Daphnia pulex: one gene and its partner. The protein of the gene in region 1 binds, or shares a complex with, the protein of each later gene. Links are inferred from orthologs where the notes say so. Each region holds a gene or a part of one and is shown in the gene's direction. Other genes may lie near its edges.

Evidence for each region.
Region 2: the proteins of endoribonuclease Dcr-1-like (region 1) and RISC-loading complex subunit tarbp2-like are in contact, whole or in part, in a cryo-EM structure (PDB 8DGJ), measured with the Drosophila melanogaster proteins. The link is inferred for Daphnia pulex from reciprocal best matches to the Drosophila melanogaster genes Dcr-1 and loqs. Residues at the interface, in NP_524453.1 of Drosophila melanogaster: His245, Phe248, Asp251, His252, Arg253, Asp255, Glu258, Ile259, His303, Tyr306, Gln307, Glu310, Lys311, Lys313, Arg320, Leu323, Cys326, Leu327, Ser329, Thr330, Ile333, Gln334, Tyr336, Ser337, Leu338, Glu340, His341; in NP_609646.1 of Drosophila melanogaster: Thr358, Gln359, His360, Ser361, Lys363, Val364, Phe367, His368, Lys372, Ile414, Glu415, Glu416, Lys417, Thr418, Phe419, Gln422, Gln424, Pro433, Val434, Gly435, Val436, His438, Ser440, Asn454, Tyr458, Ile461, Met462, Lys464, Lys465.

Annotation. Positions count from the first base shown.
Region 1 is NC_060018.1:8,404,782-8,409,195, reverse strand, and holds the start of endoribonuclease Dcr-1-like, read left to right. Parts: upstream 1-1,442; 5' UTR 1,443-1,577; coding exon 1,578-1,637; intron 1,638-1,738; coding exon 1,739-1,854; intron 1,855-1,912; coding exon 1,913-2,068; intron 2,069-2,135; coding exon 2,136-2,465; intron 2,466-2,579; coding exon 2,580-2,812; intron 2,813-2,907; coding exon 2,908-3,034; intron 3,035-3,102; coding exon 3,103-3,517; intron 3,518-3,590; coding exon 3,591-4,099; intron 4,100-4,157; coding exon 4,158-4,414. UniProt on the Drosophila melanogaster protein: Endoribonuclease which functions in microRNA- (miRNA) gene silencing and, independently of its ribonuclease III activity, also acts in the short interfering RNA- (siRNA) gene silencing pathway.
Region 2 is NC_060018.1:12,865,438-12,869,593, reverse strand, and holds RISC-loading complex subunit tarbp2-like, read left to right. Parts: upstream 1-1,473; 5' UTR 1,474-1,544; coding exon 1,545-1,619; intron 1,620-1,709; coding exon 1,710-1,851; intron 1,852-1,918; coding exon 1,919-2,033; intron 2,034-2,110; coding exon 2,111-2,136; intron 2,137-2,198; coding exon 2,199-2,470; intron 2,471-2,541; coding exon 2,542-2,676; intron 2,677-2,763; coding exon 2,764-3,093; 3' UTR 3,094-3,346; downstream 3,347-4,156. Other genes in the region: rho GTPase-activating protein 21-like, read left to right, coding at 4,151-4,156.

The DNA of each region.
Region 1 (4,414 bases):
AAATACACGTGAGACTGCAAGCAGTACATTGAACTATCAGTGAAACACACAACTAAAAGTTGCAGCAGAAATTATAGAATTTTAGCAAGGTCTTAAATATAATGGGTTGTTGTAAAATGTGACCTTTAAACTGCGTAATATGCTTTAACCAGAGATGGCTTTAACAACATTCCTACTATGTTACATTTTTCGGTTTAAGCAACCGTAGTGTGTGGAAGGCAATGTGAAGGTATATTAAAAATTTGAAAACCGCTGCTTGAACCAGAAAACTTATAGGGGTGCGTAACACGTGAAAACGCTGTTGAAAAATGGAAAACAATGAACAGTCTAGTTATGGTGAATGATCTTTCTGCGGTCGAGATTACTAGAGTTATCATAAGTTATTTTACACATTAATTGGTTTATTTTCCTAGCCTTAGCTATTCTTATCTAGCGACTAGTGTATTATTATTTAAAAAAAGGCCAATGGGTGTCCGCCTTTGGGATTTTGTTGCTGCACCAATAGACAGTTGGGTGATTGCCCTTGTATCGTTGTTATCCAAAAATGTTGAAACCGGATTTTTCTTAATCCAACCCGATTGTGACTTTAACCCAAAATATTCAGAAATGATTGATATGATTGTCATCGGTATTTTGACTAAACTATTCTTGGAAAGACAAGAGAAAAAAAAAGCACTCGTTAAAATGAATTAAAAATTAAATTAAAAACAGGAAACCAATGATAGAGATCTACAGTCCTACAGTTCATTTTCATCTCACGATCAATGACACATAAAATTGTATCCAAGTTGCCTTGTTCATTTTTATTTGCATTATCTTAGCGACCGATCTCGGCTTCAGCTGAATCCGATCGGTAGGCATACAACTACAACGTTCACACGTCCTCCTCAGACTGACCACACCAACCTCAATTACAGCGACCAGGTGCTCCGCAGTCGGCAGTCGTCGAATTCACATTTCTGTTATAAAACGTTAAAATTCGCAGAACGAGAGAAAACTGAAATGGATGTATAATAACAAGAACACTATAATTAATAAAAATTTAAAGTAGATGTGGGGAATGAAAACCCATGGTGATGCGTGATGCTGACGATAACATAACGAAGGCCGTTAGGCCCCATCATCTTGCAAGCGCGAACACCAACAATTCCGTATTGTTCGACATATCTAGAATACTAAAAAACAATTAAATGATTATATATGAAAAAATCTACGTATGATTTAGGTTTATATGCTTGTATGCTGTAGAGTTACCGATGATATCTAACATCGTATACAACTATACATTCTTTAATAAACAATCAGACAAAGTAATGATTTAAATATGTGTGTCTTTTCCTCGCTAGATGAAGCAAAATTCCCCTTCAGGGTTAAATCAACCCCCCGGTTAACCCTGCAAAAGGGAGTTTCACGGCCATGTGATATTTTAATATGGCATCGTTGTTTAAGTCATCCTCATGCTGTAAACCTGTAAACAAAAAACTTTTTACATCTGAGTTCTGATGTTCTTAAGTTGTTACTAAGCTTCAGAAATTTTCTCGAGTTTCCTCTTATGTCCATTCGTTTTATTCGCTAAAATGTTACCTCAAATGATGGATTTATCATCAAATGATAATTTTACTCCAAGAGATTTTGAGGTTTGTATAGGATTTCCATACTATTGTTAGACTTATTCTTTAACAAATTTATATTTGATTGCCATGTTTAGTTAAGAAATATTGTTTATACATTTTTTTAGGTTGAACTTTTTGAATCTGCAAAAGTTAAAAATACTATTGCATGTTTAAAAGCTGACTTGGGTAAGATGTTCATTGCTGTAATGTTAATTCGAGAAAAAGCTTTTGAAGTGTGCAAGTAAGTTATGAAGTGATGTAAAATTTTAACTCATTAATTTACTTACTGTTTTAATTAGTTCTCTGCTCTTACCCAAGGGAGGTTTTTGCTCAGTTTACCTTACCCCAACAATCAAATTGGCACTTCAGCGTTCAGCTTACTTGCGCCATCACACTCCATTGAAAGTAGGAATTTTTCATGAGAAAAAAGGTGTATTGCAGTGGAGTTCTGAAAGGTAAATTTTTATAGAAGTATTTTATGGATAAAATTAACTGTAAAACACTTAATATGTATTATTCAAGATGGACAGAGGAGTTGGGGAAAAGTCAGGTGCTTGTCATGACATATTCCATATTTCTAGAAGTCATCCACAAAAACTTTCTCAAAATGAACAAGCTTAATTTGTTGATATTGGATGACTGCCATAATGTTATGAACAATGAAGCTTTAAAAGGAGTTTTAACTCTCTATGAAAATGCAGCAAGTAGTGTACATCCAAGAATCCTTGGATTAACTGCATCTATTGTAAATAACATATGCAAGCCGATGGAACTGTCTCAGTTGATAACTATTCTGGAAACAAAATTAAAATCGGTTATTTCGACTTCCAACAACGTTTTGTCAGCCTTGCAGTAAGTATATGGTGATTAATTCATTTAGTGTGGGCATGATGAAGTCCAATATGCTATCTGCTTGCTGACTACTTTTGTGGAAAATTAACTCTTCTAATGTTTTATTTAATCTAGGCATTCAACTCGACCCAAAGAATTGATATGTGAAATATCGTCCAAGTATGAAGCCACAGAGCTGCAGCAAGAAATAATGGGTCGTATTCTTTTATTGAATGATTATCTGCGAGATCATCGATATGATCCCGCTGAGTACTATGGGGAACAAGATTATCTAAAAGAGATTCCTAATCCATGTCATGAACCTCTTGATCTACTTGAAGAATACATCCAAATCATTCAAAATTTTGGTGAATAATCACAAATATTTTTATAAGTTTTTTTATTTATTTTTAGAAGTTTACGTTAGACGATTTTAAAAATTAATACAATATAATTGACCTAGGTCCTTGGGGAGCAGACCGTGCTGCTTTGGTATACCTCATTCATTTAGAAAAATTGAAAACGAAAGCAGTTTATGAAAGACACTATCTTCTATTATGCCTTGTCTTCACTGTTTTACTTGAAATAAGGTTTGCGCTTTTAAAGTACACATTTCAACGTACTTTGTATACATGATATATATATATTTACTTTCTAGATCATTGTGCGAAGAAGAGTTTCAGAAATACTCTGAATATGAACGTATCGTGAAGTTTAGCCATCCCAAGGTTCTTCGCCTGTTGGACATTCTTCGGATCTACCGACCGCCGATACCTTCCGTGCTGCCCACAAGTGCTGAATTAGTAGAAGTAAGCGATTCTTTAGTTTCGTCCGAAGGGCAAACTGTTCAGACCCCAAAGTTGGCAACCGAAACGTCGCAAACCGCAGAATTAATTGAAAACGGTCCAGCGATTTTGCGTCAATCGACAACTCAACCAGGACACACTAGTCGACGGCGGCGTCCTGATTTCTCAAATCGCCATCACCGAAATCGAGAAGATGCTTACCAGCTCTGTGGGATGATTTTCACTGAAAGACGTACTACAGCAAAATTACTCTACCATCTTTTAAAGGTTCCACAACGACAAAATTCTCGTATTGCTATGTAATATTTAATGCCGAATATTCATTTACATTTTTTTATAGGATGCAAGTCGTTGTGATCCACAACTAGCTTATCTAAGCCCGTTGTATACGGTTGACCGAATGGAAGGCGTGAGTGTCAAAGAAATGGAGAATGAAGAAAGAAAGCAAGAAGACGTCATGAAACGATTTCGTAGTCGTGATTGTAACATTCTTGTAGCCACTAGCGTATTAGAGGATGGAATTGACGTTCCGGCATGTCATCTGGTTATTCGTTACGATTTACCACAATCCTACCGGGCTTACGTTCACTCAAAAGCTCGAGCTCGCGCTAAAAAAGCACATTACATCCTCATGGTCGAAAATGAGCGCATGGATGAGTTTTTAGTGGATTTATCTCACTTTCATGCAACAGAACAAATTCTGTTAAGTAAAAGCGGGTATCACAATTCGGTTGCTGAGTTTTTCAACCACAACGAAGATATGCTTAATTGCATTCAGGCTCCCTACCCTTCTGATGAAACTTCTAATTCGTATGCATCTTTGCAAAACGCGATTTCTATAATTAACAGGTATCACATACTTTTTTAATTCTGTAAAACTAGGTTTCATGAAAAATTTCTGTTGTAGATATTGCGCAAAGTTGCCTAGCGATTGTTTCACACGCTTAACCCCTGTGTGGAGGATACGTACCATAAAACGAGAATTAATTGAACCATCTGTTTTGGATAAATGGATTGGACTATTTAAAAATAGTGGTGCAACAGAAAACGTTTTCTTGGACGTAGCATACATATGCTCGTTGCAGTTACCAATTAATTCTCCTCTGCGAAAGACTGTATTAAGTCAACCTATGCCATCAAAAGTAACGGCCAAACGATCTGCGG
Region 2 (4,156 bases), about 4.5 Mb from region 1:
TTTTTTAACGTTAGATATACTGTATCTACATGTTTACTGGGTTTCTCTTAACAGAGAAATATGAAAATAGAAACCGTCTATGGGTTCAAGTTTCCGAGTAGCGGCGACCGGTGACCCCATATATTTTCTATTTGACGGAATATAATCTTGTATAGCACTTAGACCTGAAGCGCAAGCCTAAGACCAGCGCTGCTGATATATCATATTGCATTGGGGCCCATACAAAAGGACGCGCTGCTGTCAAAAAGAAAGTTGCGCACAGCAGTATTCACAACCATTCTTCAAAGGAGCTAGATAAAATATTTCAAACTGGCTAATCTCGATTATATTGTGAAACGTACGCGTCGTTATTATTTGTGATGCCCTTGGCGAACGGTTTCATTTTACCGCATTTACCTTGTTTATCGCAACAACAACCAAAACCGAGATAGAATCATTTTCCGGGTTGGTTGAATATGGAGACGGCTTCGCTTATAAAAACATCAAATTGTTTCTAGTTGTTTCTATAGCAAGAAATTGCGCAAGTTACACAAAAATTAATTATTCATTATTAGTAGAAGACACGTTTCATAATTCCAAGCTCGACTTATCTTTGCGGACTTTTTAATGTTCGTATATGTCTGAAATGGTGGTCATTAGTTGTTGGATAAGTTATAAGATAAATGCGGCTGGCAATATTTCATTTGGACTTGTCTGCATGCGAAGCAGGAACGGAATGAAGAAGCGGAATGTCAATGTGGCGTAACGACGAGCCTTTTTTCTATAATTTTTCGGCGAGGTTACGTCCGGAATGAAGGCACCAAGTCGCCCCTTTTTTTCTCTCTCCTCTTGCAAGAGCAATGAGCCGTCGATTGTCATCCCCCCTCCACTCTCTCTTGTCCGGGCTGTGTGTGTTTTTCTCTTTCTAGTCACACAGCTCTCCTCTTTTGCTCATGATCTATAATTAGTGCTTCGTGGTGCGTATAGAGAGAGAGAGAGTGTGTGTGCAAGTCCTCGGTACAAACGAAAAACGGTTTGGCTGCCGGCCCAGTCTCGTCGTCTCTAGCAAATAAGAGATTCTATGTAGCTAGCCACTCACGTCTCCATCATCACGACACTCTATTCGTGAACAACAACAGCACAAAAAATCTATATTAAAAAAAGGAACTTGCCCCAAATGTCTGCTAGCTGCACTTAACAAAAACCTGACTAAAAAGCACACTGATGGGTTCCGCAATCTTCGTCGCTCCCTGAAATAGAACGTGCATAAAACACGAATTCACGTATGGAATTTGAAAAGGACAAGATGGACATTCCTAGATTACCCAATCTCTAGACTAGGAATTATATTATTAGTTTTTTCTTTTTTCTTTTTGAGAAAAAAATGTCGTGAATGTGTTGCTTCCTAGACGATTGGAAATCGAACGAGTTTCACGCCTCCAGATGGCGTTGAGGGTCTTAATGTTCGTTCGTCTGCCACAAGCAATAACGTCCATACACAACAACCCGCTACCCAGTTATTTTTAGTTTTGAAGTCTTTCCCCAAAAAGAAATATATATAAAGAATGAAGATATATAACCTAGATGAAGACACGTTACTGGACGAAACCGAGGGCAGTACACACGCTGAAGGCATGGAGGTACAACTAAATCCCCAATGCCCCCGAATCACAAACTGTGCTGTTGTTATTTTTGATCGACTTGTGTAAATATTTATCTTGTTTCTTCAGGGTGCAGCGAAAACACCGGTCTCCTTGCTTCAGGAGCTGTACGTGAAGAAGGGCATCAACCCCAAGTATGATTTGATCCAAATCGAGGGGGCCATCCATGAGCCTACGTTCAAATATCGGGTTTCTGTTGGGGAACTAGTTGGTAAGTAGGAGCCAAAAAATTCCGCACATGCTGCTGACATTCAACCCGTCAACTGAATTCAATCTAGCCATGGGATCTGGGCAGTCCAAGAAAAAAGCCAAGCATGCTGCAGCTAAAGCGGTTTTGGACAAAATCTGGGGTGGTCATTGCTCTACATTGCTGGAAAATATTGGTGGTGGCACGTGAGCTTTTATTTCCCAGAGTCCATAATCCAAAACAGAATAAGCATTAAATGACGTAAATTTTCCCAACATTTTAGGTTGAGAACAGTAACTTCACCCTATGGTAACAAGACTACGATTAATGGAGCTTTCCTTGTGTAAAATGTTTTCCCATTGTGATTGCAGATGATGGTATTCCGGGCAATCCAGTAGGCAACCTACAAGAACTGTGCATATCTCACAGATGGGCGCCTCCGAGTTACGTGCTGGAAGGCGAAAATGGCCTGCCACACGAAAGGGAATTTGTCATCACTTGTGTCGTGGAGAACCACCAGGAAATTGGAGTGGGCAAGTCGAAGAAATTGGCAAAGAGACAAGCGGCCTATCGAATGCAGATGAAACTCAAAGATACGCCCATCGAGCTGCCCAACCAAGGCGGTCTCGAGGACGAGGATGAAGTAATGCCATTACGTTTTATTATTGCAGGTGAAATGTGTGTTGCAATCGAAGCTTTTGCCTTGTCCAACAGATTGCGCAAAGGGCTTCACTTAGGTGTGGCGGCTTAAAGGAAAACCAATCGAGCAAATCCTCTCACGGAATCAAAATAACGCAGTTCCACCGAAGCCTCAGAAAACTCGCCGGAGAAAAGATCGCAGCCTTACAAGTATGTAATAATACCGTGTTTCTTTTTCTTTAAAACAACCCCAGCTGAATTCCGTTTTGCTACTTTTTGTTACTGCTGCTTGCTCAGGAAGTGGCCTTGAAGGATCCTTGTTTAGATTACTTCCAATTGCTGCGCGAGATATCGGCGGAGCAAAAGTTTGACGCCACCTACGTGGACATTGAGGAAAAGACGCATTCGGGTCGATACCAGTGTCTTTTGACCATGTCGCTCACGCCAATCGCCGTCGTTTGCGGCAGCGGCTCGTCCTACGAAGAAGCTCAAAAAGAAGCCGCCTTCAGTGCCCTGCACTATCTCAAGCTGATGACGAAGAAGATGCCATCAGCACAAGTCCCGGCCAGCAGCAGCACCGATCCCGCCACCGACTCGGCCAATGAAGAAACGAATAGTAGTCGGTAGTAATAGCTTTGACGATGTGACCACCAATTTAGCATTTTGCTTTACACCTTAAAAGTATTTCCTCTCTCAGACTAGGTCATTTGTTTTAGTCCTTATTGACAATCTCAACATTTTCATGTGGCGGCATTTTCTTGAAATCAATCGTCAATTGCGTGCGTGTGTGTAATTGTAAAAAAATGCCCTCCCTCAAATGATATGCCAACCAACCCCCAACGAGACAGAAAAAGAAAATACACATTGTGATCGATTTTAATGGCTGCCGCTAGATGGCGTTGGCGTGTCTAGTTTTCCCTTTTTTTTCTTCTTCTTGCCGATTGGTCCGCTGCAGCAGCTCGGCGCTGCTGATTTAGTCTCGAGTTGGATTTGGTGTTGTCGTGACGCTCGACGCTCACAGTTGAGACCCAGCAGCAGTTTGGCGCCGTACAGTGTGTTGTGTGTCGAGAGAGAGAGAGAGACAAGTGGTGTGAGTGTTGTGTGTGTTGTGTGTGTGTTGGCTTGAGAGAGAAGGTCTCTAGCTGTGAGTGTGTTTGTGTGTGTCTTGATCGTATTGAATTGAATTGGCCGTGTGTGCAATCTAGATATATAATTAGCTGGCGAAAAGTGGCCTACATGTAAGAAAAGCATCGGCTGGCGCCACCCAGAGGTAAAAAGAGAAAGAAAAAGTCGTTGCTCGGTGTGTGTCAAGGGCCGTTGTGTGTGTGTGTGTGTGTGGGGGTGGGTATGGGTCGATAAGAGCCGAGGATCGACTCTGTTTTCTTCTTCTTCTTCCATTTTCTGCTGTTGGAATTGTGTGTGTGTAGAGAGAGAGAGAGAAATCTCGTGATGCCAAGTTTAATGGAAGATGATGACATCATCGAAAGAATGCTGACGTCAGCCCGTTTGGTTTTTTGGTTAGGTTTCGTCGAATGCTGAGCTGCTGCAGCCACTGCAGTCTGACTGGAGTGGGTAAAAATGCGCCCGGGATTGATCACATCGGCGTTTGATAGTTGAGACACAAGACGACGGTGGTGGCACAACCAGTTTTGGGCCTCCTTTTCTCGTCGTCGTCGTCGTCGTCATGATG